4 linked regions of the Arabidopsis thaliana genome follow. The protein of the gene in region 3 interacts with the protein of the main gene of each other region in a biochemical or structural test. Each region holds a gene or a part of one and is shown on either strand. Other genes may lie near its edges. The genes, in order: AT5G49770, AT4G29450, AT2G16250 and AT1G51890.

Region 1 (8,536 bases), on a different chromosome or scaffold from region 3:
CAGGGAAGAGTGGGATTCGATTGGATTGGACAAGAAGACTTAAAATAGCACTTGGTTCAGGCAAGGGCTTGGCTTATCTTCATGAACTTGCTGATCCTCCAATTATACATAGAGACATCAAATCAAATAACATATTACTTGATGAAAATCTAACCGCAAAGGTTGCCGACTTCGGTCTCTCCAAACTTGTGGGAGACCCTGAGAAAACTCATGTCACAACACAAGTCAAAGGAACCATGGTGAGTAGAAAATTTATCCTCCTTTCTCTTTTTTTCTCAAATACATTTTAAACTTACAATATCTTTGTAATCAGGGCTACTTGGATCCAGAGTACTACATGACGAATCAATTAACGGAGAAGAGCGATGTGTATGGGTTTGGTGTGGTTTTACTCGAGCTATTAACCGGTAGAAGTCCGATAGAGAGAGGCAAATATGTGGTGAGAGAGGTGAAGACAAAGATGAATAAATCTCGGAGTTTGTATGACCTGCAGGAGTTGTTGGACACAACGATCATAGCAAGCAGTGGGAATCTAAAAGGGTTCGAGAAGTATGTAGACTTGGCTTTGAGATGTGTGGAGGAGGAAGGAGTTAATAGGCCATCAATGGGTGAGGTTGTGAAAGAGATTGAGAACATAATGCAGCTTGCGGGATTAAATCCTAACTCAGATTCAGCAACGAGTTCAAGAACGTATGAGGACGCAATCAAAGGATCTGGTGATCCTTATGGCAGTGAATCGTTTCAGTACAGTGGGAATTTTCCAGCTTCAAAGCTTGAGCCCCAATGATTGATTATGTTTCTTTTTGTTATTTTGTTATTTCGTAAGTGACTTCATACTTGAAATGCCTTGTGAATGTGGAGTAGCATGATTCTGTTTGATATGTGGTCGCTGATTATAAAGCAGATGAATGGAGAGCCAAACGCAGAATCAAAAACCACCAGATCTTTGGCAATGTCGACACCAGTTTCAAACATAAGAAAAGTAATCAAGCTCAATGTATGATGAATAATTGAATATATTAATTCTTGTTGAGAAGTTTGTGTGGTTTCAAAGATTTAATCCACACATCACACACACTTTTAATTTACTCCAAACCTTTCACATTTATGCATGAGATTATATTACAAATTTATATTACAAATAATTTGTAGTACGTAAGTAAAATTAGTATTAACTAATAAGAAAAAAAAGTAATAAAGTTATTGGGTTTGCAACCTAACACATCAACGATCCCATCGAACAACAACAGTTACATGACCCAGGGTGAATTTATGGTTGTCGTCTCATCTGAGAGCACTCTCTGATCTAGTGTCCTTGTTGTCCACACCTCAAACACGCCCCCAAAATGTATGACATGATTTAACAAAAAATAAAAAGAAACATGATTTAAGACATGTGGTGTGTGGCAACTCTGCCATATATTTCATGGTGAGGTAGCGAACCGGCACCAAGTTTTTCTCGATATGTTTCCTCCATTTACCATTCTTTACGGTAGACTACGGTAGACTCATAACTTTTTTTATACCGGAGTCATATCGTATTAGTTTCTTAAGAGGATTAAAGCACACATATGTTTTTGTGTCTTATTTACTACAAAAAGTCTTTTTACTAAAACACTAACAAAACAAAAATAACATACAAAAAAAATAAGAAAAGTGGTGGGATGTGGCCAAATAGCATTAGCATACATACGTAGGAAAAAAATAGACGATGTGGTCATATGTCAGAGTGGTCAAGGTCCCATCCCATCTCTGAGTTTTCCGTCGGTTTGGAGTATATTGATCGGAGAATATGATATGGGCAAAAAAAAAAAATCGATTAATTTTTAATCAATTTGGGGTACACTGAAAACAAAAAATATTTTTTTTATTAATTTACTTGGAGGAAGTACTGGTCAATATAACATCAAACCATCAGCATCATTCATTGTTGTTGCAATTAGTATTATTATCTCAAGTTGATAAAAGCTTGTGCTGATTTTTTCCATGACCATGACTTTATTGCATGTTGCTGTTAGAAAAACCATATCAGTGCATAGTCGCTTACCATTACTCTATTTCAAAAATCTCTCTTTTCTTGAGAAGAAACGTTCTAGGAAAACAAATAATATATACATGACTTCTCCCAGTTTTGTGCAGAAACAATTAAATGTTAGATCATTTAGTTAAGTTTTGTTACATATTGCATATTTATGCTTTATCATGTAAACAGATTTATTTATGTAGTTAATAAAGGACTAGTCTATTATAATGGTGTTTTGTGCCAAGTCATTGTTCATAATTTGTTCCTCCACATTACCGTATTGACATTTCAATTTCTCCCTTGGATAATACCTTTGAACCCTTCCGCAATATATAGCGGTTCTTTATTATCTATATCAAGTTGAACTATTTGTTTATATGGTCCACTGTCTATTTGTTTGCTTTATTTATAAATTTTCGCTTAACTTGTTCAAAGTCTTCTCCTTTATGTCTTACATGCTTTGTTAGCAAAGAACATGGAGGCTGCATTTTTATGTTAGAGTTCGTCATAACTTGTGCAGACCACATGCTTTCTTCTTGAACGAATTGTGATACATATCATTGTGTGTCTGATGAAGATGAGTTCAAGAATTGGATTATTTAAGCTCTTGATCTTGCTTTTCTTCCAAATTTACTCTGTTTATGCGTTCACAGATGGTTCAGATTGTAAGTATAAGTAGATGATGATCAGAGTTCTTTTAACAGATAAAGATTTCCAATTTTTTGTATTTTAATTCTTTCAATATTGGTGCAGTTACTGCTTTACAAGCCCTGAAGAACGAATGGGACACGTTATCCAAGAGTTGGAAAAGCTCTGATCCTTGTGGAACCGAATGGGTTGGAATTACATGTAACAACGATAACCGTGTTGTTTCAATGTAACACCTTGGTCCCTTTCTTTGTTTGTTCTTTTGCTGCTTCTTTCTTCAATATAATCCTCTATATACAGACTTTAAGCTGTGTTATTTGCTTGTTTCAGATCATTAACCAACCGTAACTTGAAAGGAAAGCTTCCTACCGAAATTTCGACATTGTCTGAATTGCAAACCTTGTAGGTCTTTCTTCTTCTTCTTTTTCCTTTGCATAAAAATGGATTTAGTTCTCATCTTATGATTCGATGTTTGCAGGGATTTGACTGGCAATCCTGAATTGTCTGGACCGCTTCCAGCAAATATCGGTAACCTCAGGAAGTTGACTTTCTTGTAAGCAAAGTAAACAAGATCTTAACCTAATTCCATCAATCGCATTATCTTATATATCGCCTTTTCTTTTGTTGTTTTCTTCTCTAGGAGCCTTATGGGATGTGCTTTTAATGGTCCAATCCCTGATTCCATAGGGAATCTTGAACAACTTACAAGACTGTAAGATTTGTTGCTTCTTATAATTTATAAACAGTCACTTTTTCAATGTAATCTTTAAAACTCATAATAAGTATTACTTTGCGTTTCCTCCATACAGCTCTCTGAATTTAAATAAATTTAGTGGAACAATTCCGGCTTCCATGGGACGGTTATCGAAACTATATTGGTTCGACATAGCTGACAATCAGTTAGAAGGAAAGCTTCCAGTTTCTGATGGGGCTTCTTTACCTGGACTTGACATGCTTCTTCAAACTGGGCATTTGTATATATAATCCCAAATCCTTAGTTTTCATTTTTATTTAGTTACTCTTTATATATAACATTCATCACTCTGACTCTCTTTTACTTTCTTTTGTAGTCATTTTGGTAATAACAAGCTTTCAGGCGAAATCCCAGAGAAGCTCTTTAGCTCAGAAATGACTTTGCTACATGTGTAAGTTTCATAGTACATGCAAAAGCTGAGAGTTTTCACTAGTTGATATTAGAAACTAACAAAGTGATGATTGCATTTTTGTTCTTGTTTTATCAATAGGCTGTTTGATGGAAACCAATTCACCGGTAGCATCCCAGAGAGCCTCGGCCTAGTTCAAAATTTGACTGTGTTGTAAGTAGTAGAAATATATTTTCCAAACTGTATGTTCACAAAATTTCTTTAATCTTATAAGATATTTGCTTTGTTACAGACGTCTTGATAGGAATAGACTAAGTGGAGACATTCCTTCAAGTCTTAATAATCTCACAAATCTTCAAGAACTGTAAGTGAGCAAATAAAGATTTGTTCTGTTTTCTTAAGATATATAAATGAAAAGATGTAAAAGATCTTGTAGTTGAATCCATTTCAGGCATTTGTCCGACAACAAATTTACAGGTAGTCTTCCAAATTTGACCAGCTTGACCAGTCTCTACACATTGTAAGTTTCAATATTTTTCTTCCTCGTTTGTTGCTCAAATTTAGCATCAGAAACCTTTCTTATTAATAATCAATCTAATGCCATGATATGATTATTATGTAACAGGGATGTGAGCAATAACCCGTTGGCGTTATCACCGGTTCCATCATGGATCCCTTTCTTAAACTCTTTGTCAACATTGTATGAGCATTCCTCTCTCTTTTTAGATATATATAGATTTGTGAGCATACATAATGAGAAAAAATGGTCTTCAACTTGGCAGAAGGTTGGAAGATATCCAACTTGATGGTCCAGTACCAACCTCCCTTTTTAGCCCTCTTCAATTGCAAACTGTGTGAGTCAAATAAGTCATGATCATGAATGTTCAATTGGAAAGTCAACTCAAAGATTTGTGAAACATGTACTGATTGGGATGGTTTTTCTTGACTTGCAGTTCCCTAAAGCACAATCTTATAAACACAACATTGGACCTTGGTACCAACTATAGCAAACAATTGGATTTTGTGGATTTACGAGACAACTTCATAACTGGTTATAAATCACCAGCTAATAACCCCGTCAATGTAATGTATGTATTCATCTTTGACCAATATGTAACATCTTTGAAGAATAACTTACGTATGTGTGTTGATATATCCATAGGTTGGCAGATAATCAAGTGTGCCAAGACCCGGCGAATCAGCTGAGTGGCTACTGCAATGCAGTCCAACCAAATTCCACATTTTCTACCCTAACAAAATGTGGTAATCATTGTGGTAAAGGTAAGGAACCGAATCAAGGCTGCCACTGTGTGTATCCACTTACAGGAGTATTCACCTTAAGGTCTCCTTCATTCTCCGGATTTTCAAACAACAGTAACTTCCTAAAGTTTGGGGAGAGTTTAATGACTTTCTTTAAGAATGGCAAGTATCCTGTAGACTCTGTGGCCATGAGAAACATAAGCGAGAATCCAACTGATTATCATCTTTTGATAAATCTCTTGATCTTTCCATCGGGACGCGACCGCTTTAATCAGACGGAAATGGACTCTATTAATTCTGCATTTACCATTCAGGATTATAAGCCTCCTCCAAGATTTGGTCCTTATATTTTCGTCGCCGATCAGTACAAAACATTCTCTGGTATGATGAAACGTAACACACACTCAAACGAAATCTATATTGATTTAACTCATTTTACTTATAAGCCTTGTTTGTTTCACAGATTTAGAAGATTCCAAGACAGTAAGTATGAAAGTTATAATTGGAGTAGTAGTTGGTGTTGTAGTTCTTCTGTTGCTGTTGGCTTTAGCTGGGATTTACGCTCTTAGACAGAAGAAGAGAGCTCAGAGAGCAACTGATCAAATGAATCCTTTTGGTAAAAGAAAAATGGTTTAACACTAGAACAAAAGACTTTTCTCTTGTCTTATGAAAATCCTGACAGCTTCTCGTTTGTCTGTTGTAGCCAAGTGGGATGCGGGGAAGAATGAAATGGATGCTCCACAACTAATGGGAACAAAAGCCTTTACTTTCGAAGAGCTTAGCAAATGTACTAACAACTTTTCAGATGCAAATGATGTTGGCGGTGGAGGTTATGGCCAGGTTTGTGTATTTCCAATGTCCTCAACTGAAACAACCAGAGGTAGTAGTTCAAATTATAATACCAATTTGATGGTGAAACAGGTCTACAAAGGTACCCTTCCCAATGGGCAAGTCATAGCAATCAAAAGAGCTCAACAAGGATCCATGCAAGGAGCGTTCGAGTTTAAGACCGAGATTGAGCTTCTTTCAAGGGTCCATCATAAAAATGTTGTTAAGCTTTTGGGCTTCTGTTTTGATCAAAAAGAACAAATGCTCGTATACGAGTACATACCTAATGGGTCCCTTAGAGACGGTCTATCAGGTATATATTTAATCTCTATATATCTTGCTTTGTTAGTTCTTTGGTGCTGAACTTGAAAAACAAATGTAGGGAAGAATGGGGTTAAACTGGATTGGACAAGAAGGCTCAAAATAGCACTTGGCTCAGGGAAGGGTCTAGCTTATCTTCATGAGCTTGCTGATCCTCCAATTATACATAGAGACGTCAAATCAAATAACATATTACTTGATGAACATCTAACCGCAAAGGTTGCTGATTTCGGTCTCTCCAAACTTGTGGGGGACCCTGAAAAAGCTCATGTCACAACACAAGTGAAAGGAACCATGGTGAGTAAAAAAGAATCTATCATAAAATATATGAAACCATTAACTATAAAAACTAACAATATCTCTGGAATTAATTAGGGCTATCTTGATCCTGAGTACTACATGACGAATCAATTGACGGAGAAGAGCGATGTGTATGGGTTTGGTGTGGTGATGCTTGAGTTATTAACCGGTAAAAGTCCGATAGATAGAGGCAGCTATGTTGTGAAAGAGGTAAAGAAGAAGATGGATAAATCGAGGAACTTGTATGACTTACAAGAATTGTTGGACACGACAATTATCCAAAACAGCGGGAATTTGAAAGGGTTCGAGAAGTATGTAGATGTGGCTCTACAATGCGTGGAGCCAGAGGGAGTTAATAGGCCAACAATGAGTGAGGTGGTGCAAGAACTTGAGAGCATATTGCGGCTTGTTGGATTAAACCCTAACGCCGATTCAGCAACATACGAGGAAGCATCTGGTGATCCTTATGGTAGGGATTCGTTTGAGTACACTGGGGTTTTCCCAACTCCAAAACCCTAACGCAATAATTGATTAATTTGTTCTTTCTCAGTTTTTTATTGTTTTGTTTTTTGGTTATTTTGTAAGTGACTTTACAACCTTAAATGCCGTGTGAATGTGTGTGTACTAGCATGATTTGATTTTTGATATATGTTGTTTTGTGGTCGCTGCTTATAAAGTGTAAACAAGATTGGAATCAAAATAAACATCAACCCTAAGCAACCCTAAGTTGTCATGATACTAAATAAATCTAATCACCGGATTTTGAATATACTCTCTTTGAGGTTGTCTCAGCAGTCCGGTTGTCATGTCTCTACGGGTATCCCCACGCACATATACTGTGCCAAGCAAGGATGCTAGTGTGTCCTTCTTGAATCCGCGAACGGATGATCTTTCTCTATTCTCATGTTGTAGTTATGATTTTCTTAACTTCGTTCGTAATCAAGTGAATACTTTCAATAACAGACTTGTATACACACTTTTTGGTTTTTTACGGTTTACTATTACAGTATTAATCGATTTTCTACCATAAAATTAAACTGTTTATCTAGTAATTAAAAAAAAACTGACACAATATGAAAATAAAAATGGTCACAAAAAATAGAATTTCTTTAGTAAAATGAAAAAAAATCACTTAATTTGAAAATTTTTTTTTAAGAGAAAATATAGTGAATTGTTTAATCTATAATCATTTGAATTGCAAGAAACAAAAAACAAAGAAAACAAAAACCTATATTTTATTTGGAACGGAGTACTGGTCAATATATCATCAAAATATCAGCATCGTCGGTACTGCAATTAGTATATTATCTCAAGTTGGTAAAAGCTTACGCTGATTGTTTCCAGGACTTTGACCATGTTGTTGTTAGAAAACTATTTCGCTGACCTGAACCGTCTTGGGCAAGCCAATCATATCTAACGTTTTTAGTTTGTAGATTTCGTTTTTCTTTAAATGTTTGAATCATTAATGAGCGTTTTAATACATCATATTTAAAATGAGACACTAGTTTCTCATCACAATAACTGATCATCACGTTGGTTCCGTTTTGATTCAATATTTCGGGTCGATTTGATCCAAAAAAATATCCAAATATTGGAGTTAAAGCAGAGCAAACAAAATTACCCTTTTTTTTTTTTTTTGGACAAAACAAAAAAAATTACCTTCCTTTCAAAATAACTACTCCCTCTGTTTCAAAATAAATAGATTTCAAATTTCTAATAATCTTATATTCATAATTGGTTCTTTCCCATTAACCCTAGTGGCATTTCCATCTAACCACATTTTCCGAACCTTCCATTAATAGCATTCTCATATTTTATCAAGTGGAACTAGTCTTTAAATGATCCACTGCCAATTTCTATTATTTATATGTTTACTTTTACATTATTCAAAGTCTTCTCCTTCTTGTTTAACAATATTATGTAAATGTTTTGTTAGCGAGGAAGCTGTATTTTTGTATTCAAGACTATGTCATAACGTGTGCAAATCACATGCTTTCTCATTGAATGACTTTCCGATACAGTCAGAAGCAGGGAAAGAGAAAAAGAGATTCTT
Region 2 (7,794 bases), on a different chromosome or scaffold from region 3:
CATTTCTGAAGCAAAACCTATCTCTGTTTCAGTTCTCGGTATTCGCTATGGGAAGTATTGTGGGATAGGTTACTTTGGATGTCCTGGAGAGCCACCTTGTGATGATCTTGATGATTGTTGTATGACTCATGATAATTGTGTTGATTTAAAAGGTAAACCAATCAAGAATATCTACGTAAAACTATTCTATAAACAGAGAAACACAAAGTGAAGTTAACATCTTTTAACTACTTTGTCCACTACAAATCTAATTGCACTCTGCATCTTGGATCTGAGAATGCTGCATTTGGTGCTTTTTTACAGGTATGACTTATGTTGACTGCCACAAGCAGTTCCAGCGTTGCGTAAACGAGCTTAAACAATCAATCCAAGAATCTAACAACCAAAAGGTTGGATTTTCCAAGGAATGCCCTTATTCAACAGTGATACCAACCGTGTACAGAGGAATGAATTATGGCATTTTCTTCAGTGGGATAGGTAACTAAATAAGCACTGGTTTATTAATAACACTATGAGAATCACTTATAGACTTCGGAAACCATAAGCTAGTGATGAAACCGAATTACTTATGTTACATTGTTTTGTGACATTTTGTATTATAGCACTTACTATACTGTCTTCTAATGTTACACTGCAAATAGCTTAGTTTAGCTAGTGTTAAAATCTGATAAGATGCGAATAATCTCGCGCAGGTAATATCATTATACCTAAGAAGCCAGCAAGTGCCGGGCCTGTCGTGGAGGTGGATCTGGCACGGAGTAAAGCGGACACAAAAGATGGCCTTGGAACAAATCAAGGCCCTCAAACAAAAGATGGCTCCAAAGTCTCTGTTCCGATGAACCCTTCTCCTTCTTGATCATTAGGTGACTCATAACTCTCAAGTTTTGTAGATTATTTAACTTTGTTGTCTTATGAAAAATGATCAAGATCTTGAATTCTCTCAGGTTCATGATTCCCATGTATTTTATACATTACATTAGTTTCTCTTTTACTCTAGATATGAGAGGATTCAAAACGAATTCATACTTATATAAGAAATCAAATGTAGAAAAGAAGAAAAAGTGTATATGGATTTTTTTTTTCTAATAAATCAAACATAAATTCTGTTGTTTCTTGATGTAAAAATCAGCAATGATACGAAAATCGAAACATATTAATCTGCAATCTATTTGTAACAGATTGCATTAAGAAAATCATTAGCCGTTGCGAATACATAGCTTAAACGTGTTCTGTTCCAAGAGGTAACAAAAATGATACTCTGTTTTTACCGTCCATGATAATGCTTCTTCGAGAAGGAACGTCCATAAAATATGATGATTTGATTGGTAGTCATGCAACTTCTTCATTTTTTAAATTCTTGTGTACGTAAAAGAGAGAGAGAGGGGAAGGACAAGAAAGCAGGAGGACCAACCAAAAATGGGATATTCCATTCCAGAGAGAGCCAAAAATAGTTTGGGACAGAATTTGAAAGAACACAAAACCCAAAAACTTCAACCAGAGAGCGAGATTTAGAAAGATGATCACCGGGCTTGCTTTGTCACGTGTTGCTTTCGGTTTAACCGCCTTCCTCCTCCTCGCCGTCGTTAGCAGCCAGGAGAAGTGCAGCAACACCTGCATTGCACAGAACTGCAACAGTAAGATTGTTTTTTTCTTATCATCTTAGTTCTTATGCCTTCCTTTGATTTTGGAGAAAAAAACTTGTGCATGCATTATATGTTTTGATCCAATCTTTGTTTTCAGGTCTTGGTATTCGCTATGGGAAGTATTGTGGGATAGGTTACTTTGGATGTCCTGGAGAGCCACCTTGTGATGATCTTGATGCTTGTTGTATGACTCATGACAATTGTGTTGATTTAAAAGGTAAACCAATCAACAACATAATCTATGCATGAAAACCATTCTTGAGTTAATATTTGGTTTTTATTAGGTATGACTTACGTTAACTGCCACAAGCAGTTCAAACGTTGCGTAAACAAGCTAAGCAAATCTATTAAACACTCTAACGGAGAAAAGATTGGATTCTCCACACAATGCCCTTATTCGATAGTGATACCAACCGTGTTCAATGGAATGGATTACGGCATTTTCTTCAGTGGGATAGGTAATTATTGAGCTCTGATTTTGTGACATTCAATATAAGCTAGTACTAGTGATGAAACCACATGACTCTTTTTCTGTTACATTGTGACATTTCTTATGATAAGATATATGTGAATAATCTCTGCGCAGGTAATATATTTAATCCCCCGGTGCTGGGAAGCGTGCCCGTCGTGGAGGTGGATCTCGCTCGGAGTAAAGTGGACACAAAGGATGGCCTTGGAACAAAACTAGGCCTTCAAACAAAAGAAGGCTCCAAAGTCTCTGCTTCTTTAAATATATGAGCCCTTCTAGTACTATTTCTTGATCATCTTCTAAAGTGACTACTCTCTGTAACTTCGTTGTTATAGAAAATTCATAAAACAAAAAAAGACTTTGAATTCTGTCCCAGATCAAAATCAACTGGCAATCAATGACTCAGTCTATGTATTTTATCTATTATTTTGGATGTTAATCACATCTTTAATAACTTCACTAAAGTCAAAACGTGACATTGTCACTAATTCCATCTTATAAAATCCAGGTTGTCTTCCTGTCCTTAGTGGGAAATATATATAGTTACTGAGCCAATGATGAAAGAAAAGTCTACAAACACCTGGCTAATACCATAAAGAGTAGACTTTGCACTTTTTGGCTTTTAATTAAGCTTATCTTACTCGCACGTAGTCTGTTTTTTTCCTGAAGATGGTAAGCTGAAGAACTTCTGAAAAAAGAGAGAAGAAAATGAGGGCTAATCTCGTTTTCGGCATATTTTGTGCCCTTGTTACCACCATTTTAGTTCACGGCCAAGACCAATCAGGTTCCCTCTTCTCCTCTCTGTTTTGATTTGAAATTGAGGCGAGGTTCAGACTGAAGAAAGCTTGAGTTTTATTATGAAAAGTTTTTGTCTTTTAAACATGTCTTGGATTTTTAGTCAAACCCTTATACAATGTCTTGTGTTACAAGTAATCATACAATTCTCTCTTTTCTCTGTTTTCTAATTTGAAATTGACCGATGTTCTTGAAGGTTCTTGAAAGTTGTGATCTACGTTTTTGTCAATATAGAGAAACGAAGTTAGGCAGATTTTTAAACCTATCCATGAACGTTCTCAGACGTCATAAACAATTTTACTTGTGTTGGAAGTAACTCCCCTTTCTTCTCCTCTGATCCAGGTTACATCAGCATCGATTGTGGCATACCTCCTTACGATACCCCTGAAGACACTATGACTAACATTAATTACGTCTCCGATGAAGCTTTCATAACCACCGGCGTAAACTTCAAGGTCTCTGAAGAATACGGCTATCCAAAAAACCCGGTATTGCTGTCAACTCTTGCTGAAGTAAGAGCTTTCCCTCAAGGAAACAGAAACTGTTACACCTTAAAACTTTCACAAGGAAAAGATCATCTTTATCTCATTAGAGCTTCCTTTATGTATGGAAACTACGATGGTAAAAAAGCTTTGCCTGAGTTTGATCTCTATGTAAACGTGAACTTCTGGTCGACAGTGAAATTCAAAAATGCTTCTGATCAAGTCACCAAAGAGATTTTAAGCTTTGCAGAGTCGGATACAATATATGTTTGCCTTGTGAATAAAGGCAAAGGAACTCCTTTTATTTCAGGGTTAGAGCTCCGACCAGTGAACAGCTCAATCTACGGTACTGAATTTGGAAGAAATGTCTCTTTGGTTCTCTATCGAAGATGGGACATTGGATATTTAAACGGAACAGGACGGTACCAAGACGATAGATTCGATCGTATTTGGTCTCCATACTCCTCAAATATCTCCTGGAACTCGATTATAACATCGGGCTATATCGATGTTTTTCAGAACGGTTATTGTCCACCTGATGAAGTTATTAAGACAGCTGCTGCTCCTGAAAACGTTGATGATCCGTTGGAATTGTTCTGGACATCAGACGATCCAAATGTTCGGTTCTACGCATATCTTTACTTCGCGGAACTCGAAACACTAGAGAAGAATGAGACTAGAAAGATCAAGATTTTGTGGAATGGTTCCCCTGTTTCTGAAACTTCTTTCGAACCTTCTTCAAAATATTCAACGACGTTTTCTAATCCAAGAGCTTTCACTGGTAAAGATCACTGGATTTCTATTCAGAAGACTGTAGATTCAACGCTTCCACCGATTCTCAATGCTATAGAGATTTTTACCGCACAATCTCTAGATGAATTTTCCACCACAATTGAAGACAGTGAGTTTCCACTTTCAATCTCTATTTAGATAGAATTAGATTTCTACTGAAACTCACATAGTCACATTTTCTCTTGGTAATGCAGTTCATGCTATAGAAAGCATAAAAGCAACTTATAAAGTGAACAAGGTTTGGAGTGGTGATCCTTGCTCCCCAAGATTATTCCCTTGGGAAGGTGTTGGATGCAGCGACAACAATAATAATCATCAAATCAAGTCCCTGAATCTTAGCTCAAGCGGATTACTAGGACCAATAGTCTTGGCATTTAGAAATCTCTCTCTTCTTGAGTCATTGTAAGTATACGTATACAATTGACATTTTTCACCACTTTTTATGCACATGAACTATCAGAGAGTTATGCATTGTTTTTCTCAGGGATTTATCCAACAATGACCTGCAACAAAATGTGCCTGAGTTTTTGGCTGATCTAAAACATTTGAAAGTCCTGTAAGTAAGCACAAATATACACAGTGTTGGTCTATTTAAATAATGAATTTGCCTCTTGACACATTTACTTGTGTTGTAAGGAATTTGAAAGGAAACAATTTTACTGGGTTTATCCCAAAATCCCTTATGAAAAAGTTAAAGGCCGGTTTACTTACGCTCAGGTAACAGTTTCTAGCATTATTCAGAAAGTTATTCAACACAAGCACTCTCTCTGAATCTTGTGATTTCCTCTGTTTTGCAGTGCGGATGAGCAAAACCTTTGTAACTCATGTCAAGAAAAGAAGAAGAAGAAGAGCATGGTCGTGCCAATAGCTGTAGCAGCATCAGTGATCGTTCTCGTTGTCGTCTTGGTTATCATATGGATCATACTAAGGCAAAGAAAAAAAGGTTAGATGGCTGGAATATTTACTTCAGGATTAATGAATTGAAGTTGTTTTATGCTGAGAAAAACGAGTGTTTTGATTTCAGGAGCCTATTCAGGACCACTCCTGCCTTCAGGGAAGAGAAGGTTCACATATAATGAGGTCTCTAGCATAACAAACAACTTCAATAAAGTGATTGGTAAAGGAGGGTTTGGTATTGTGTACCTTGGTTCCCTTGAAGATGGGACTAAAATTGCTGTAAAGATGATAAACGATTCTTCATTGGCAAAACCTAAAGGAACTTCATCATCATCATTATCCCGGGCTTCTAACCAATTCCAAGTCGAGGTGATCTAAAGAACACCAAAAACATGATCAAATATTTTAGAAATTAAAATGCTTAAGTACTGTAAAATGTTTGCAGGCAGAGCTTCTTTTGACAGTGCATCACCGTAACTTAGCTTCATTTGTTGGATACTGCGATGATGATCGTAGCATGGCTCTCATCTACGAGTACATGGCCAACGGCAACTTGCAGGCTTATCTTTCAAGTCATCTTATTATCTCTCTATATATCTCTGTTACCAATTGTTGCTTTGCTTCCTATGAGCTCACGGGTGTTATGTTTATGGACATGCAGGTGAGAATGCAGAGGATCTTAGTTGGGAAAAGAGACTCCATATAGCCATAGATTCTGCACAAGGTTGGTCCCGGTTTTGGCAACCTTGATTCCTCAGGGCTTAACCAAGAAACCAAACCTGGTTTAGCCTAGTTCTGTATTGTGAAACCTGGTTTTATTTCCCCCTTGGCAGGTTTGGAGTATTTGCACGATGGATGCAGACCAGCAATAGTACATAGAGACGTTAAAACAGCAAACATTCTAATAAACGATAACTTGGAAGCCAAGATTGCTGATTTCGGCCTTTCTAAGGTCTTCCCTGAAGACGATCTCAGCCACGTCGTGACTACCGTCATGGGCACTCCCGGCTACGTTGATCCTGAGTAAGTTCCTTTTCACAATCAATACAGATCACATGTTCTGGCTGGTAGCTTCACAAACCAGAGCGGTTTAGTGAGACTAGGGTTAGGGTTGGCCAATTCAGTTCGGACCCTTTTTAAGTTTATCAGGAATACATGGTAACCAATTTGCGACGTGTGGTGACAGATACTACAGAACATTTGTGCTGAACGAGAAGAGCGACGTGTACAGTTTTGGGGTCGTTCTTCTTGAACTCATCACTGGCCAGCGAGCCATCATCAAAACAGAAGAAGGAGACAATATCAGCGTTATTCACTACGTTTGGCCGTTCTTTGAGGCTAGAGAACTAGACGGCGTCGTGGACCCGCTGCTTCGGGGAGACTTCTCGCAGGACTCAGCTTGGAAGTTTGTGGATGTGGCAATGTCTTGCGTCAGAGATAAAGGATCGAATAGACCAACGATGAACCAGATCGTAGCGGAGCTGAAACAGTGCCTAGCTGCTGAGCTGGACCGTGAGCCACAGAGCCAGTGAAAGTCAAAGAGATTACGGAGAAGTAGGACGAAGCCAAATGGATTAAAAGAGGTTTGGATAATTTCTATATAGGTTATTTGTGTTGTATGGTCAGATTCATATTATGATTGACTACAATTTCTAAAAGGTTTCTACTCAAATTCTTTTGTATAAAATTCGATCGTTGTCGATTCCGTTAAAATCCTACTTGTAATAGTTTTGTGATGAAATGAATGATTCATATTTCTCATAATTGCTGATCTAGGAAATTAACGTACTATAGATCAAATTGATAAGCTTTGAATTGAGTGATGAATCATATATTTCTATTAAATTGTATAGAGTTTTATCATGTTATTTTTGTTGAAAATAAATCAATTAATTTCTTCTTAAACAATTGTTTTTTTTGTCTAATACAAAAAATGCTAATTTTGAAATTTAGTTTTATGGTATTTCAGTTATCTGTTGTCGGTGTCTCTACATTTAAAGACATTTCAAAACATGTGACCCACTAACTCTAGACATATACAAAAAATCGGTTATAATTATTTAATACATATCTAGTTATTTTGTAACGCTTTAAATTTTATTAGCTTAATTATTATTTTTTCAAGATTGTTTTGATATTAATGAAGATCTGATAAAAATCATTGTTTATATATTAAATGATTCGGGGATTAATTGGAGTAACGAAAGATATTCAAAGTTGGAAAATCTAATATTTGAATAACCTTACAAAATCAATAATGTTAATATACAAGATTTTTGTTTAAATTACTGTCGACATGACACATGTCTTTTTCATTAACTCGTTTTTCTGAGTTTTTGTTTTCTTACATGATTGTCATTTTGACGCGTTAATCAAAATCTTCTAACACTATTTAACCCGTTTTTGCCAAAAGTCAATTTTTCTTTTTTATCGTCTCTATTTCACCTCTTCTTCTGCGTCTTCTCCAAAATTGATACTTTTCTTCGTGTCACGTGAAGGTCCATTTCCTCAGATCACAAAATTTCCATCTGATTTCCTCAACAAAAACCCTTAAAGCCCAGATTTTTCGTTTCAATTGTGTGTACTCGGAGACTCCACAAGACCTCAAAAGGCTTGACCTTTCGTTTCTCTAATCAAGTTTCGCTCAATGAAGAAGGTGCTTCATCGAAGTTTCAAGCCTGCCAAATGGTATATTCACTTTCTCATTTTCCTCTTG
Region 3 (7,572 bases):
TGATGATAGTATTGTCCTCCACGGTGCTGGTTCTACTCGCAGTGGCTTCTTTCGTATTCGCTAAGAAGACAAAACTCGTGGCTGCTACTAAACCAGCCCCTGAGAGTAACATGGAGCTAAACTTGAGTCATGTGCCAGAAGAGAATCTGGTGAAAGAGAAGCTCTTTTCACTGAATTTTGAGGAAGAAGTTGATGACAAAATGAGTAACAGTTTCCAAAAGAAGAGCTCATGCCACAAAGAACCTCAAAGCAAAGGAGGCAAGAAGAATAACAACAATAGCAGTAGCAGCAAGTTGAGGAGAGAATCAATGGCATCTTCAGCATCAGAATACTCCATTGGCTCTTTTTCTTACGGAAGTTTCACAACATACGAGAAGATACCCATCAAAAGTGTGAGTACCATCAATCAATGATCACGTAAAGTACACGTTTTGCATCGTTTTAGTACTAACCCATTTTATATATTCACAGGGTAGAGAAGAAGAGGAGATGATTACACCAGTGAGACGTTCAAGCCGGATTAAGAACAACAAACCTTCTGGTTCTGGTCTATGATAAAGAGATAGACATTTCATTTCAATCATTGCATCACTATGCAATCTTTTTAGTTTCCTAAGAATTAGAATTAGCTTTATGACTCCTTAAAATCTTCTGATTTGTACCAAACTAGTTGTGATTCAATCCAAAGTTTGTTTCTTTGTGTCAGTCTCAGTCGTTTAAAGTAAAAGAAGAAACAAAAGCATGAGACTTTTTTTTTTTTTTTGGTAACAAAGCATGAGACTAAACATCACAAGACTCAATTTCTCCAGCTTCCTCCTTCAGATCGCCCCTGACCACCGTAACCTCCGTCTCCATAACCACCTTCACGACGATCACCTCCATAACCACCACCGTATCCACCTCCACCGCCACGGTTGTAACCACCTTGATCACGTCTACCTCTGTAACCACCACTTCCGTAACCACCAACCATACCACCGCGAGTACCACTACCACGAGCCTGAGCCTAGTTAACAGTAATGTTACGACCATCAAGTTCTTGACCATTCATTCTATCGATCGCAGTCCTCATGGAATCCTCATCTTTAAAAGTCACAAATCTAAACCCCTTAGACCTCCCGGTCTCACGATCAATGATGATCTGATCCAATCCATAAACCATATAAAGTCGAGATTTTTATGATACAAAGAGAGAAACAGAGCAACACAAAAACAGAGTCACACTTTAACGGACCTTGGAGTCGAAAACTTCACCAAACTCGTTGAAACACCTCTCTATAGACTGTTCATCGGTGGCCCAAGCTAAACCTCCGACGAAGCATCGATACTCGTTGTCTGCATAAGCCACGTCCAAAGATTTGAGGAAGATGATGACGACGACGGTTCTATATAGAAGCGCGAAACCATGGTTACGTTGATTCGGTGCTTAACATGCATTCAGAAATATGATTAGAACTGTGACCAAAACACTCTCTTGGACGCATGATTTGTGCCACGTCACCAGAATCGAAATAATCTTGCTCTGATCCGATGGTTTAGATTTGACGGCTTATTTTGTATGTGTGGGGTCTCACGAAGAGGACATGTGTTAGTTATATGATCTTGAACTGGAAAACACAGATACAAACAACATTTGTACTTTCGGACACGTTGGATTTATTTAATAGCGATGCGGGATATGTAACAAAAATTAGGTAGTGATGTAAATTTGTTATCCGACGAAAGATGAATAGTTCATTGCTTTTTCTTCCCGAACAAATATCCTCAATTATGACTTAACTAGCTCGAGGTTAGAGAAAACTTTTCTATGGAAATAACAGTAATTGGAACGATTAATAAAATCATATACGCAACTGTAGCATATGAAAATTAATAAACAGTTTAAGAAAATTTCACATCACTTGTTCATATATTTTGAGAAAACTTTTGAGAAATTTTTAGCTCAAGAAAAATTCATCTCTATTAATGTCTACTTAATCACTATTTTCTAAATAAACCATAGTGAGACTTTGAACTAACATAATCATTCATTTTTCAAGTAAAATTAAATAAAAAAACTAAATATTTTCATTCGATTGGCATTGTTTAAATTGAACATTCTACAATAGAGAATTTGTTTCTATCAATTTTAAACTAAACATATATCAAATTTTTGGATCATATCAAAAAAGCTAGAAAATTCAATATCATTGTTTTTTAAAAAGAATACTTCAACATCTTTACAAAATCCTATAACCGATAAATATTTCATCCAATATTTTGAAAGAAAGTTGCCAACATTTCACATGTTTTTCTAGTTGATAATTTTCTATTGTACTGTATATGATTATATGTTGTAATAAATTGTTTAAAATGCAAATGATTACAGCGGTTGAGACGGACAAATACTATGCAGATTAAACCGCTTTTAATTTACCAATCATAAATTAGAATCTATAATAATATATACTAAGAAAACTGCCGTAAACCAATCATAAACCATTTTTACATACAAATAAGATTGATCCACAACGATTTATTATCTACTTGAAAATAAAACACACTTATATTATCGATGAATTTATCTATTCTGATTGCCGTTACCATTCGAACCAAAAAATTCAGAGTATTTAGAAAATTTTAGCAAGAAAAGAAAAAGATTCCTTTATTCGGCCAAGAATGGTGAATATAGGACGTGAGATATATTACTCCTTATATATCCGAACATTAAATTTACAACAATAATAAAACAGGAAAGAAGGAAAGAAAAAATCCCAAATAGTAATTGCGGCAACAGCTTAGCTGGCTTATGGCGGGATTACCGGGAAAGTCAAACCAAACATTAAAACGACGTCACTTTACCCCACACTAGGTTTTAATTTAATCTAATTTCAAAATTATTAATTAATCAGATTTGTAATTAATAATAAATTAATTTCGAAGTTTCTTGCAAAGACGAGAGAGAGAGGAGTGTCACAGTCTACAGTTGTTATCTCAACAATCTCGATCTTCTTCTTCTTCTTCTTTCTTTCTCTCTCTAAAGATTTTTTTCACTCAACAAATCACTTTTTGTTTTGTCTGATTTTAAGGATTAGTGAAAAATTTCTACTTTTTCTTCTCATAAATTAGGATTTAGAGAGAGAGAGAGAAAGAGAAAGAGAGGTGCTTTAATGTCTGTGAAGGTAGGAGCTGTAATTGGATCCAGTAACAGAGCAAACCCAGTTCGATATCTGTCTCTTTCTTCCTCTCTAAAGATCGAAAGACGTTATTTTTATTAGGGTTGTTGAATTGGGTATTTTGCTTAAATCCTGAAAAAAATAGTCTCTGTCTCTCTCTGGGTTTGGGTGATGAGTGTTGATGGGTCATTGGATTGAGTTTGATAAGCAATGGTTGATCAAAGAAGAAGCGCATTGGGTTTTGTCTTGTTGTTGTTGTGTTTGGTACTGTTCTTCGACTGTGTTGTTGTTGGTCAAACACAGAGTCGATTCAGTGAGAAACTCATTTTGCTTAATCTCAGGTCTTCTTTAGGGTTAAGAGGAACAGATTGGCCAATTAAAGGTGACCCTTGTGTTGATTGGAGAGGTATACAATGTGAGAATGGTAGTATCATTGGGATCAATATCTCTGGGTTTAGGAGAACAAGAATTGGTAAGCTAAACCCACAATTCTCTGTTGATCCTCTTCGTAATCTAACTCGTTTGTCGTATTTTAACGCGTCCGGGTTAGCGTTACCGGGGACTATACCTGAGTGGTTTGGTGTTAGTTTGTTGGCATTGGAAGTATTGGATCTTAGTTCGTGTTCTGTTAACGGTGTTGTTCCTTTTACTCTTGGTAATCTCACTAGTTTAAGAACTTTGAATCTGTCTCAGAACAGTCTTACTAGTTTAGTTCCTAGCAGTTTAGGACAGTTGTTGAATCTATCACAGCTTGATCTCTCTAGGAACTCATTCACTGGTGTTCTTCCTCAATCTTTTAGCTCTCTGAAGAATCTGTTGACTCTTGATGTTTCTTCCAATTACCTTACTGGACCTATCCCTCCTGGTTTAGGAGCGTTATCAAAGCTTATCCATCTGAACTTTTCAAGCAATAGTTTCTCGTCTCCGATTCCTTCAGAGCTTGGTGATCTTGTCAATCTGGTTGACTTTGATCTCAGCATCAATTCATTGTCTGGTTCAGTTCCTCAGGAGCTAAGAAAGTTAAGTAAGTTGCAGCTAATGGCGATTGGCGATAACCTTTTGAGTGGTACTTTACCAGTAGATTTGTTTAGTGCTGAGAGCCAACTGCAAACTTTAGTTTTGAGGGAAAATGGTTTCTCTGGTAGTCTACCTGATGTGTGCTGGTCGTTGCCAAAATTGCGGATTCTTGACATTGCTAAGAACAACTTCACAGGACTGCTGCCATATTCTAGTTATGATTCAGACCAGATAGCTGAAATGGTTGATATCTCTTCGAACACATTCTATGGAGAGCTCACACCGATTCTTAGACGGTTCAGGATAATGGACCTCTCTGGTAATTATTTCGAAGGTAAGCTTCCTGATTATGTGACCGGGGAAAATGTGTCTGTTACAAGCAATTGCCTTCGAAATGAGAGGAGACAGAAGCCGTCAGCAATATGTGCAGCATTCTATAAGTCTAGAGGATTAGATTTTGATGATTTCGGACGTCCTAATTTGACACAACCGACATCGAAAAATGCTTCTTCAGGGATAAGCCGCAGAACAGTAATTATATTGGCAGCAGTGGGTGGTGGAGTTGCTTTTATTCTTCTTTTTGTTATCTTGCCAATTATTCTGGTTCTATGCATGCGCCATAGACGCAGAGCGGCACAAAGAGGAAATAACGACAGGCCAAAACCTGCCGGGGAAGCTTCACAACAACCACCTAAAGGAGCACAAACCTTTGATTTGTCACGTCTTGGAAATGCATTTTCTTATGAGCAGCTTCTTCAGGCAACAGAGGAATTCAATGATGCTAATCTGATAAAACGTGGTCATTCGGGGAATCTGTTTCGTGGTTTCTTGGAAAATGGTATACCCGTTGTTATAAAAAAGATCGATGTGCGGGAAGGTAAAAGTGAAGGCTATATATCAGAACTGGAGTTGTTTAGTAAGGCTGGACACCAGAGGCTGGTTCCCTTTTTGGGACACTGCTTGGAGAATGAGAGCCAAAAGTTCTTGGTATACAAGTTTATGAGACACGGTGATTTGGCTAGCTCTTTGTTCAGGAAATCCGAAAACGAAGGTGATGGATTGAAGTCTTTGGATTGGATAACAAGGTTGAAAATTGCTCTTGGTGCAGCTGAGGGACTCTCTTATTTGCATCATGAGTGTTCACCGCCTCTAGTTCATAGGTACTACTCTCCTGCTCAGCTTCTCGTAATATAATCTTGATATTTTTTAAAGCATTGACATAGCAAGACTATTGGAAGTTGTTTTGTTGATTCTGTTTTTAGTATCATATAACCTTTCATGTTCATAATTAGTAAGATCTATTCAAGAATTGTTAGTGTATAGTTTCATAGATGGAGAAGCCCAATGACATCACCTGCTCCTAAATTACTTCTTGTTGATCTATGCTCTATTGCCTGATAAGAAGAAAAGCGAGAGAACTCATGTGTGTGTTTGTGTTCAATGTTAAATAGGGATGTACAAGCAAGTAGCATACTTCTTGATGATAAATTTGAGGTACGTCTTGGAAGCCTAAGCGAGGCATATGCTCAAGGTGATGCTTATCAAAGCAGAATTTCTCGTTTACTTCGATTACCGCAGTAAGTGCTTATTACATTAACAAACTCTCTGGTCCTTTTCTGTTTTACTTTGATTCCCTAACATGACTCTGTATGTTGTCTTGGCACCTACTAATGCTTCGCTGTCTCTTCTTTTCCTATTCTTGCAGATCGAGTGAACCATCTTCTTCAGGTATACACTTAGGAGAATAAAAATTTCATCAGGATATACCATCTCCGATTAACCGATAGACATCTGATTGGTTTATTCTTTTCAGGTGTAACAAATGCAATATGTTCGTATGATGTCTACTGCTTTGGCAAAGTGTTACTTGAGCTAGTAACGGGGAAGCTCGGGATTAGCTCGCCAGACAACGCACTTGCAAAAGAGTACATGGAAGAAGCTTTGCCATACATCAGCACAAACGAGAAAGAACTAGTAACCAAGATCTTAGACCCGTCATTAATGGTGGACGAAGACCTTCTAGAAGAAGTATGGGCAATGGCTATCATTGCAAAGTCATGCCTAAACCCAAAACCAACAAGAAGACCATTAATGAGACACATTGTGAACGCACTTGAGAACCCACTGAAAGTAGTAAGAGAAGATACCAACTCGGGTTCAGGCTCTTCCCGGTTAAGAACAAACTCGTCGAGAGGGTCTTGGAACGCTGCTATATTTGGGAGCTGGAGGCAGAGTGCGTCGGATGTAACAGCTGTTCAAGCGGGAGCAACAACAAGCGGTGGTGGTGGTGGTGGTGGTGGTAATGGTTTGAGAAACTCGGGGTCGCAAGGAAGTAGCGGAAGGAACAATAACAACAACGGGAATTCATCGTCGTCGAGAAGACGGCAATCTAGTGAGATTGTACCGGAACCTGCTGCTTATGGAGTAGTAGAGGATAATTTATGATTCGTTTCATCGATTCTTTTGTGTCGATAATAACAGAGGCAAAGAGAGTCCTCAAAGGTAGCATAATGTTAGATGGGAGGAGGATTTGTTTTTTCTTTCTTTTGTTTTGTTTTTGGGTTTAGGATTGGTGGGAGTTAGAAATGTTAGTTCACTCTTTGTTTTTGTTTTTTGGTTCAAACGTGGATTTTGTAAATTGTAAAATTCTTGGAGATTGGGTTTTGTTTTCGGTTTCTTTCTTATTGAAAGACCAGAAAACAAAACAAAACAAAAAAGTTGGGTTACATTTGTTTCAGTTCCACCATTACTTATTATTCTTGTATCTGATTTCGTACGTGTGAATTTTGTTGACTATTTCATTTGCACGTGGCAAGCTTTTGATATGTATTTGGACAAAAAGTGAAAGGAAAGATACTTCTTCCTTTTGTTGGATCTGATTTCGTACGTGTGAATATTGTTGACTAGTTCATTCGCACGTGGGAAGCTTTTGATTCATATTGGGACAAAAAGTAAAAATAAAGGTTCTACCGAGAATTGAACTCGGGTTACTGGATTCAGAGTCCAATGTCCTAACCGCTAGACCATAGAACCATTATGTTTAGAGACGTAAACTTATAATATATATACGTATGAACCAAAATGTTGAAGTTGTAGGATTTTTGGTCTGAGTTACCTGTAATTATATTTAATTATTTCATACACTGAACTTAATTTGAAAATTACAACATTACAAACAAAAATTGAAATTCTAATGAGTTACTTTTGCCAAATCTATCATGGTTAGAAACTTAGAATGATTAAATAGCTAAACTATATCCCAATATATAAGATGTTCTTATGTATTTTATTTTTGTCCATTATATTAAAACTTAAAATAAATTTTCATATTTTCTAATCATTTCTGTTATATGCAATATTTGCCACGATTGGTTGAATTGTTTTAAATAAATAAATAATA
Region 4 (8,211 bases), on a different chromosome or scaffold from region 3:
GAAAGTAATGGATCCAGATGTGGATATTAGATGTTATGAAGAGTCACCACACGAGGTGTCTAAATTTAGCCTCACCGATTTCGAAGAAGAGATAATGGAAGATGATTACATAGAAGCTTTGAAGTGTAGAATGTTGGATGATATATTGAAGAAGTCCGGTCACCGTTTAGAAATATCAAGGCGGCAATATAATAAACCTGAGATTGAAATACAGGTGATTTTTTTTTTTTATTATTGTTGTTATAGTAAGATCAGTAGATATATATCTTGGTTTCATAATATTTTGGACTTGTGTGTGTTTAGGTCAATGAAAAGGAAGAGAAGAAAGTAATCAATACGGATATGGATATTAGATATGATGATGAGTCACCAGAAGAGGTGGAGACATATTCTAGTCTCACGGATGATGAAGAAGAGAGAAGCAAGGAAGATACATCAATGGAAGATGTGAAGTGTAGAATGTTGGATTAAAAAACGACGAAGCTCGGCCACCTTTTAGGAATATCAAGGCCGGAATATAGACCTGAGATTGAAAAACAGGTGATTTTATTTTGTTGTTAATTGTATTAGTAAAGATCAGTAGATATATATTTGTTTTTGTTTTTCGGTTTCATAATATTTTGGACGCTTGTGTTTAGGTCAATGAAGAGAAAGAAAGAAAGTAATGGATATTAGATCTGCTGGTCAGTCACAAACACGAGGTGTACAAATTTAGCCTCACCGATATCAAAGAAGAGAGAAGCAATGAAGATACATCAATGGAAGATTGTTGCATAGAAGAGGCTCAAGTCGGAAAAGATCAAAGAGTCTTCAGATTCAGAGAAAGTAGTGAAGAGAAGAGAAAATCCTCATCATCACCATTATCACCACTAACAGAGTTTAGGGATATGGAGAGTTTGACGTATTACATGAGGCAAAAAGGGATGCATCGAAGAAGAAGAAGATCATCAACATCACCACATTGTTGCCATAATGTAGTATACAATGAGTTTAAAGTGACGAAGGAAGAAGAAGAGGAAGAAAGACAAAGATTAACAACCAAACGTGTTCATTCTAAGCTTCATGAATACGAACAATTTTTAACTCAGTTTAAAAAGAAGAAGGAAGAAGAAAACGAGAGACGAAGATTATCACCCAAAGACTTTGAGCCTACGCTTCCTGATTACGACCAAGTGATTACTCGCTTTAGAGTGCTGGAGAAGGAAGAAGAAGAAAGACGAAGATTAGCAACAAAACATGTTCATCCTAAGCTTCCTGATTACGACCAGATTGCTACTAAGTTTAAACTCCTGAAGGAGGTAGAAAAAGAAAGACGAAGATTATTAACCAAACACAGTTCATCCTAAGCTTCCAGGATGAGACACGAAGATTATCAACACCAAAAGGAAGATGAAGAAGACTATAACCAAACCACTAGGGTTTTTTGATTCGGAGTCGGACCAACCTTAAGGTTGGAAAGCTAACTAAAGCTTCGCCTCTGTCTTTTTGAATTTTCCACAGTCCAATTTAGGATTCAAAGTCTCTTTTTGTGTTGAAGAATGAGAGACGAAGATTATTAACCCAAAAAGAAGAAGAAGAAGAAAGACGAAGATAATTAACCAAACCGCTAGTTTTTTTTTTTGGTTTTGATTCGGAGTCGGACCAACTTTAAGGTTGGAAAGCTATTTAAAGCTTCAGCTCAGTCTTTTTTGAATGAAGTCTTAATTGATGTACTATATAATCGAAAATGAAAATAGTGTATATGAGATCTTTAATTTTGTTACCGTATAAAATATGTTGATTCATTTTACCAATTTGGGTATATCTTACAAAAAAGTTTATGTTACTCGTTTTTAATTAAATAAGCAATCAAATGACTTAGTCATAAAATTTAGTGAAAATTATCCAGATTTGAGTCATGGATTTATAAGGGAATATTATAGGCGACGTCAAAAATCAAAATCACCTAAGTTGACTTATTAATTTCTAAATTTTTCTTCACTTTATTTTTAAAAAAGAATTTCAAACTCATCGAAATTTGTCAAAATAATTTCAGATAAATATATACCATATACGTCAACGGACTATAATATCGAGTTTTTTTCCACACTTAATATTAGAAATTTCAGAAATGAATATTATAGGCAACGACGACGTCAAAAATCAAAATCACCTAAGTTGACTTATTCTTTTCTAATTTTTCTTCACTTTATTTTTTAAAAAGAATTTTAAACACATCGAAATTTGTCAAAATAATTCCAAATAAATATATACAATATACGTCAACGAACTATAATATCGAGATTTTTTTCACACAAAATAAAAGTACGATTGTTTAGTAGTTTATTTACGCTCTCTTTTTGTTATTATAGTTGCTTTTATTGGAAGCTTGGAAGGCAAGTTGGGTATTTTTGTTTTGTTTAAGCAAGATTCTGCAACTTTCTTTGTTTGTATCTTTCCATTCTTTATTTACTTTCGTTTGATTTCTCATTTTGTTTTTATATATTTGCCACCAATTCTAGTTTGAACATTTCCACAAGACACATAATTTCGTAGGCAAATAAGAGTGCTGTTACAATCACCTGAATAAGTCTAATGTTGAAGAAGAAGACTTGGCCATCTTAATTGACCAATACTTTGCTCTTATGTCAATCTTTACCCACCAAGAACCTATGAAAAATGAATAGCCTCCTCTGATTCAGAACAAACATCCCCAAAAAACATGAGGTTTTTGTCTTTCTTGATCTTCGTTTTCGCAGTTCTTGGATTGGTTCAAGCTCAAGACCAATCAGGTTATTTACTCTGTTTTCATGAAATCTTGATGTTTTGTTTCCTTTTCAGATCAACAAAACCTCTTAAAAGTTTGTTTTTTTCGATCATAAACAGGATTCATAAGCTTAGATTGTGGTTTGGTGCCTACGGAAATTACTTATGTGGAAAAGTCGACGAATATAACATACAGATCAGACGCAACTTACATCGACAGTGGAGTTCCCGGGAAGATCAATGAAGTGTACAGAACACAGTTTCAGCAACAAATTTGGGCCTTGAGAAGCTTCCCTGAGGGTCAAAGAAATTGTTACAACTTCAGTCTCACCGCAAAACGTAAGTATCTAATCAGAGGAACCTTTATCTATGGGAATTATGACGGTTTGAATCAACTCCCGAGCTTTGATCTTTACATCGGTCCAAACAAATGGACCTCTGTTTCGATCCCCGGAGTGAGAAATGGTTCAGTCTCCGAGATGATCCATGTCTTAAGACAAGACCATCTTCAAATTTGTCTTGTGAAAACAGGAGAAACTACACCGTTTATTTCTTCATTGGAACTTCGTCCTTTGAACAATAATACATACGTCACAAAAAGTGGATCGCTTATTGTGGTCGCAAGACTTTACTTTTCACCCACTCCACCATTTCTCAGGTACAGAAATGAGCCAAAAAGGTTTTATTTTCATACTAGTTGTTTTGTTGTTTGTGTTAAATTATCAAAATGAGCCTTTCTCTCTAGGTATGATGAGGACGTCCATGACCGAATTTGGATTCCATTCTTAGATAACAAAAATTCCTTGTTAAGCACGGAACTCTCTGTTGATACAAGTAACTTCTACAATGTGCCTCAAACTGTAGCGAAAACTGCTGCTGTCCCTTTAAATGCTACTCAGCCTCTGAAAATAAATTGGAGTCTCGACGACATCACTTCACAGTCATATATATACATGCATTTCGCTGAAATCGAGAATCTTGAAGCTAATGAGACCAGAGAATTCAATATTACTTACAATGGTGGCGAAAATTGGTTCTCCTATTTTAGACCTCCAAAGTTTCGTATAACAACTGTATACAATCCAGCAGCTGTGAGTTCTCTAGATGGGAATTTCAACTTCACTTTCTCGATGACCGGTAACTCTACTCATCCTCCTCTTATCAACGGCCTTGAGATTTATCAAGTTCTAGAGCTTCCACAGCTTGATACATACCAAGATGAAGGTAAGTTAAGCATGTTCTTAAACCAATTCTTTTACCAAGAGTTCATGTCTTTGAAGTTTTTGAAATGTAATGATTGATCAGTTTCCGCTATGATGAATATCAAGACAATATATGGATTGAGCAAAAGGTCTAGCTGGCAAGGAGATCCATGTGCTCCTGAGTTATATAGATGGGAAGGTTTAAACTGTAGTTATCCAAACTTTGCGCCACCGCAGATCATATCCTTGTATGTTTTGCTTGTTAATCTCACAATTCTTTAGTTTCGAGTTTTTTTTCTCAAGTTCTAACTTTTGGACTCTCTATTAGGAACTTGAGTGGAAGCAATTTGAGTGGTACCATAACATCTGATATATCCAAGCTAACACATTTGAGAGAACTGTAAGAATCCGAAACTGTCACACACTAATAAACTTAAAGTATATGATATGGTGTATTGTGTATAACAAATTTATTTTTTTCCTTTAATGCGCAGAGATTTATCAAACAATGACTTATCAGGAGATATTCCATTTGTTTTTTCTGATATGAAGAATTTGACACTCATGTGAGCTACTAAATGACTAATATATTTATCTTGGTTCTTGGTCGCTCTGCTCTTTGTGTGCTGTTCTCAAAGATTCATTTTTGTCATTTGCAGAAACTTGAGTGGAAACAAGAATCTAAATCGCTCAGTTCCAGAGACTCTTCAGAAGAGGATAGATAACAAATCTTTAACACTAATGTAAGATTTTCAGTGGATTCAGTCTCAAGCTTTTCAAGTCACGGAAAGTATTTCAGAATCCTATGAAACAGTGTCTAACCTTCTATTCGATTCCACATCACCTTTAATGATTGCAGTAGAGATGAAACCGGAAAAAATAGTACAAATGTAGTTGCTATCGCAGCATCAGTGGCTAGCGTGTTTGCTGTGCTAGTTATCTTGGCTATCGTTTTTGTCGTCATAAGGAAAAAACAGAGAACTAATGAAGGTATGATCACTAGAATAGGTCTTGAAAATAATGAAAATGAAAGTTGTCAGATTTATACTCACTTCCTTTAGGTTTTACAGCTTCAGGACCCCGATCATTCACTACTGGCACGGTTAAGAGTGATGCAAGATCATCGAGTTCATCAATCATAACAAAGGAACGCAAGTTCACTTATTCGGAGGTACTAAAGATGACTAAAAACTTTGAGAGAGTTCTTGGTAAAGGAGGGTTTGGAACAGTGTATCATGGTAACTTGGATGATACTCAAGTAGCTGTGAAAATGCTTTCTCATTCATCAGCTCAAGGTTATAAAGAGTTCAAAGCAGAGGTACTTTAACAAGAAATGGATATGTTTTTTTTTTTTTTAATAAGAAATGGATATGTTAGTCTTAATTGTTTTTAAAGTGCATTAGGTTCCTCAATCATGAATGGTGATTTTGTTCTTTCTTAGGTTGAACTTCTTTTAAGAGTTCATCACAGACATTTGGTGGGACTTGTTGGTTACTGTGATGATGGAGACAACTTAGCTCTGATCTATGAATATATGGAAAAAGGAGACCTGAGGGAAAATATGTCAGGTAAGCACTTTAATTTAGTTGAATCCATCTCCTTAGACAGTTTGAAACATTCAAAGCCTGGTACAGGAAAACACAGTGTCAATGTCCTAAGCTGGGAAACAAGAATGCAAATAGCTGTAGAGGCAGCACAAGGTGAACTAAATTATGACTTATATACTTTTCATTCACAACAATTTGTGTGGTAGTCTGAAAGCAAGATTGACATAAACAATAACTATTTGTAACAGGATTGGAGTATTTGCATAACGGATGTAGGCCTCCTATGGTACATAGAGATGTGAAACCAACCAACATTTTATTAAATGAGCGGTCTCAAGCAAAACTAGCCGACTTTGGGCTATCGAGATCTTTTCCTGTTGATGGTGAATCTCATGTCATGACAGTCGTTGCAGGAACACCTGGTTACTTAGATCCTGAGTGAGTGAATCAATCTGTTTCTTGTACTGAAATAAGTTATGAAGAATTGGGAACTGTAACCTCTCTTTATGATACTCTTCTTTTCAGGTATTACAGAACAAACTGGCTAAGCGAGAAGAGTGATGTGTACAGCTTTGGTGTAGTGCTTTTAGAGATAGTCACAAACCAGCCTGTGATGAATAAAAACCGAGAGAGACCTCATATCAATGAATGGGTTATGTTCATGCTTACCAATGGGGATATCAAGAGTATTGTCGACCCGAAACTGAATGAAGACTATGACACAAACGGTGTGTGGAAGGTTGTAGAGTTGGCTTTAGCTTGTGTAAACCCGTCTTCAAGCCGTAGACCGACAATGCCACACGTGGTGATGGAGCTAAACGAATGTCTTGCTTTGGAAATAGAAAGGAAACAAGGTAGTCAAGCGACGTACATAAAGGAATCTGTTGAGTTTAGTCCATCTTCTGCTTCTGATTTTTCCCCTTTAGCTAGGTAAAAGTCTTTGTGTTATCAAGCTTTGTTGTTTATTATAATCGATTGTTCATATTGAAATGTTTAAGATAGTTCTGTGAATTTTCTTCAAAATGTATTAGCCTTTATTATGTGTAACATTCTTGGATTCCAAGAAATTTATATCTTTAATATTAGTTTATGTATGAGTCATCAACGCATGGTCTTGGATGCTCTTTTTTGATTACTCTGTTCTCATGATTTTGAAGTAAAAGTTTGCAAGAAATTCGGACTCATACAAATTCAAAGTGAACGCATGAAAGCGTTGTTGGAGTCAAATGTGACATGGTCCGTGTATAATTCACTAGAGTTCATATCACATACAAAAATAAACGTGCCTCCATAAAAATTAAAATTTACTATCTGATTTAAATTGACTGATTCATTTAAAATCTGCTAAAGTTTTTTAACCTATAAATAATGTAACAATTGATTTCACATCTTTTTTTAGAAGTCTACCTAATAATATACATTTGAAAATTCTCCAACGCCTGAAAGCGGAAAGAATGTCGTAGACACGTAATGTGTTACTATAATAATCACCTGAATAAAATAAAAGAATCTAATGTTGAAGACTTAGCACACAGCTTACACAAGCTATGAATGCCAAATCAATTGACCAATATAATGTTATCTCAATACTTGCCAGTCAAGAACAATGATCAATGAATAATCATAACCTCCCTGAATCAGAGCACTCACTGCAAAAAAAGAAGAAGATGAAGTCTATTCATGGGTTTTTGCTCTTCTTGATCACAGCTTATGTCATTTTGGAATCAGTTCAAGCTCAAGATCAATTAGGTTCTTACTTTTTGTTTCTTCGATTACTCTATAGATTAAGAAACCCTTTTGGAATTTGTTTCTTTAAATTTGTTATTTTGGTGTTGATCGTCAACAGGATTCATCAGTTTGGATTGTGGGTTAGTCCCTAAGAACGCAACTTATACGGAGAAGACGACAAATATAACATACAAATCAGATGCAAATTACATCGATAGTGGATTGGTCGGGAGGATCAGTGCTGAGTACAAAGCGCAGCTTCAGCAACAAACTTGGACCGTAAGAAGCTTCCCTGAGGGTGAAAGAAACTGTTACAACTTCAACCTTACCGCTAAAAGCAGATATCTCATCAGAGCAACCTTTACGTATGGGAATTACGATGGTTTGAGACAAGTCCCCAAGTTTGATATTCACATTGGTCCTAGCAAATGGACTTCTGTTAAGTTGGATGGAGTAGGAAATGGTGCAGTCCTCGAGATGATTCATGTCTTAACACAAGACCGTCTTCAAATTTGTCTTGTTAAGACAGGAAAAGGGATACCATTTATTTCGTCGCTGGAACTTCGTCCGTTGAACAATAATACTTACCTCACGCAAAGTGGATCGTTGATTGGGTTCGCAAGAGTTTTCTTTTCAGCCACTCCAACATTCATAAGGTAAAGAGGTTTTTTTTTTTTTTTTTTTTTCTTTTGTATTTTTTCTGGTTCGTTTCTGCGTGTAGATGCAAATCATGCAATATCTTGATGTAAAGTGCACCAGATATTGCTAGCTAGTTTGAAAAATTTGGTATTTGCATTCGGATTTTCGGATGCAAAACGTTTTATCCAAATGCAACATGCATATGGAAAAAGCGATTTTAGAAACGAACAACATTAACGGCTAGATCTGGATGTTGCATTTAACGACGGGACTTTCTTTTTTTTGTTATTTGTTTTTGAGTTAACAAAAACAAGTCTAGTGGCTTTTCCTCTCATTTCTATAGGTATGAT

Evidence for each region.
Region 1: the proteins of AT2G16250 (region 3) and AT5G49770 form a complex in vitro, tested with the Arabidopsis thaliana proteins (one large-scale study listed by BioGRID).
Region 2: the proteins of AT2G16250 (region 3) and AT4G29450 form a complex in vitro, tested with the Arabidopsis thaliana proteins (one large-scale study listed by BioGRID).
Region 4: the proteins of AT2G16250 (region 3) and AT1G51890 form a complex in vitro, tested with the Arabidopsis thaliana proteins (one large-scale study listed by BioGRID).

What each region holds. Positions count from the first base shown.
Region 1 is NC_003076.8:20,220,266-20,228,801, forward strand, and holds AT5G49770 (Leucine-rich repeat protein kinase family protein), read left to right. Parts: upstream 1-2,403; 5' UTR 2,404-2,594; coding exon 2,595-2,688; intron 2,689-2,776; coding exon 2,777-2,900; intron 2,901-3,001; coding exon 3,002-3,073; intron 3,074-3,149; coding exon 3,150-3,224; intron 3,225-3,311; coding exon 3,312-3,383; intron 3,384-3,480; coding exon 3,481-3,645; intron 3,646-3,741; coding exon 3,742-3,816; intron 3,817-3,915; coding exon 3,916-3,987; intron 3,988-4,066; coding exon 4,067-4,138; intron 4,139-4,225; coding exon 4,226-4,294; intron 4,295-4,399; coding exon 4,400-4,474; intron 4,475-4,556; coding exon 4,557-4,628; intron 4,629-4,727; coding exon 4,728-4,862; intron 4,863-4,936; coding exon 4,937-5,415; intron 5,416-5,497; coding exon 5,498-5,650; intron 5,651-5,737; coding exon 5,738-5,874; intron 5,875-5,955; coding exon 5,956-6,175; intron 6,176-6,244; coding exon 6,245-6,480; intron 6,481-6,558; coding exon 6,559-7,002; 3' UTR 7,003-7,201; and 1 more. Other genes in the region: AT5G49760 (Leucine-rich repeat protein kinase family protein), read left to right, coding at 4-239, 314-787.
Region 2 is NC_003075.7:14,477,653-14,485,446, reverse strand, and holds AT4G29450 (Leucine-rich repeat protein kinase family protein), read left to right. Parts: upstream 1-2,820; coding exon 2,821-2,896; intron 2,897-3,249; coding exon 3,250-4,290; intron 4,291-4,375; coding exon 4,376-4,583; intron 4,584-4,665; coding exon 4,666-4,737; intron 4,738-4,817; coding exon 4,818-4,898; intron 4,899-4,978; coding exon 4,979-5,124; intron 5,125-5,205; coding exon 5,206-5,447; intron 5,448-5,523; coding exon 5,524-5,650; intron 5,651-5,739; coding exon 5,740-5,802; intron 5,803-5,911; coding exon 5,912-6,101; intron 6,102-6,264; coding exon 6,265-6,610; 3' UTR 6,611-6,698; downstream 6,699-7,794. Other genes in the region: PLA2-DELTA (Phospholipase A2 family protein), read left to right, coding at 33-152, 304-477, 693-856; PLA2-GAMMA (Phospholipase A2 family protein), read left to right, coding at 1,517-1,634, 1,741-1,860, 1,928-2,101, 2,230-2,381; AT4G29440 (Regulator of Vps4 activity in the MVB pathway protein), read left to right, coding at 7,726-7,766.
Region 3 is NC_003071.7:7,038,727-7,046,298, reverse strand, and holds AT2G16250 (Leucine-rich repeat protein kinase family protein), read left to right. Parts: upstream 1-2,944; 5' UTR 2,945-3,365; coding exon 3,366-5,332; intron 5,333-5,623; coding exon 5,624-5,749; coding exon of another isoform or gene 5,750-5,753; exon of another isoform or gene 5,754-5,877; coding exon 5,878-5,900; exon of another isoform or gene 5,901-5,985; coding exon 5,986-6,617; downstream 6,618-7,572. Other genes in the region: AT2G16270 (uncharacterized protein), read left to right, coding at 1-392, 472-555.
Region 4 is NC_003070.9:19,273,019-19,281,229, reverse strand, and holds AT1G51890 (Leucine-rich repeat protein kinase family protein), read left to right. Parts: upstream 1-2,431; 5' UTR 2,432-2,701; coding exon 2,702-2,771; intron 2,772-2,865; coding exon 2,866-3,403; exon of another isoform or gene 3,404-3,490; coding exon 3,491-3,969; intron 3,970-4,050; coding exon 4,051-4,195; intron 4,196-4,275; coding exon 4,276-4,347; intron 4,348-4,441; coding exon 4,442-4,513; intron 4,514-4,606; coding exon 4,607-4,690; intron 4,691-4,806; coding exon 4,807-4,937; intron 4,938-5,017; coding exon 5,018-5,265; intron 5,266-5,388; coding exon 5,389-5,647; intron 5,648-5,742; coding exon 5,743-5,932; coding exon of another isoform or gene 5,933-5,936; exon of another isoform or gene 5,937-6,019; coding exon 6,020-6,428; 3' UTR 6,429-6,597; downstream 6,598-8,211. Other genes in the region: AT1G51900 (Regulator of Vps4 activity in the MVB pathway protein), read left to right, coding at 1-214, 304-452, 689-1,346; RHS6 (root hair specific 6), read left to right, coding at 7,108-7,243, 7,341-7,878, 8,205-8,211.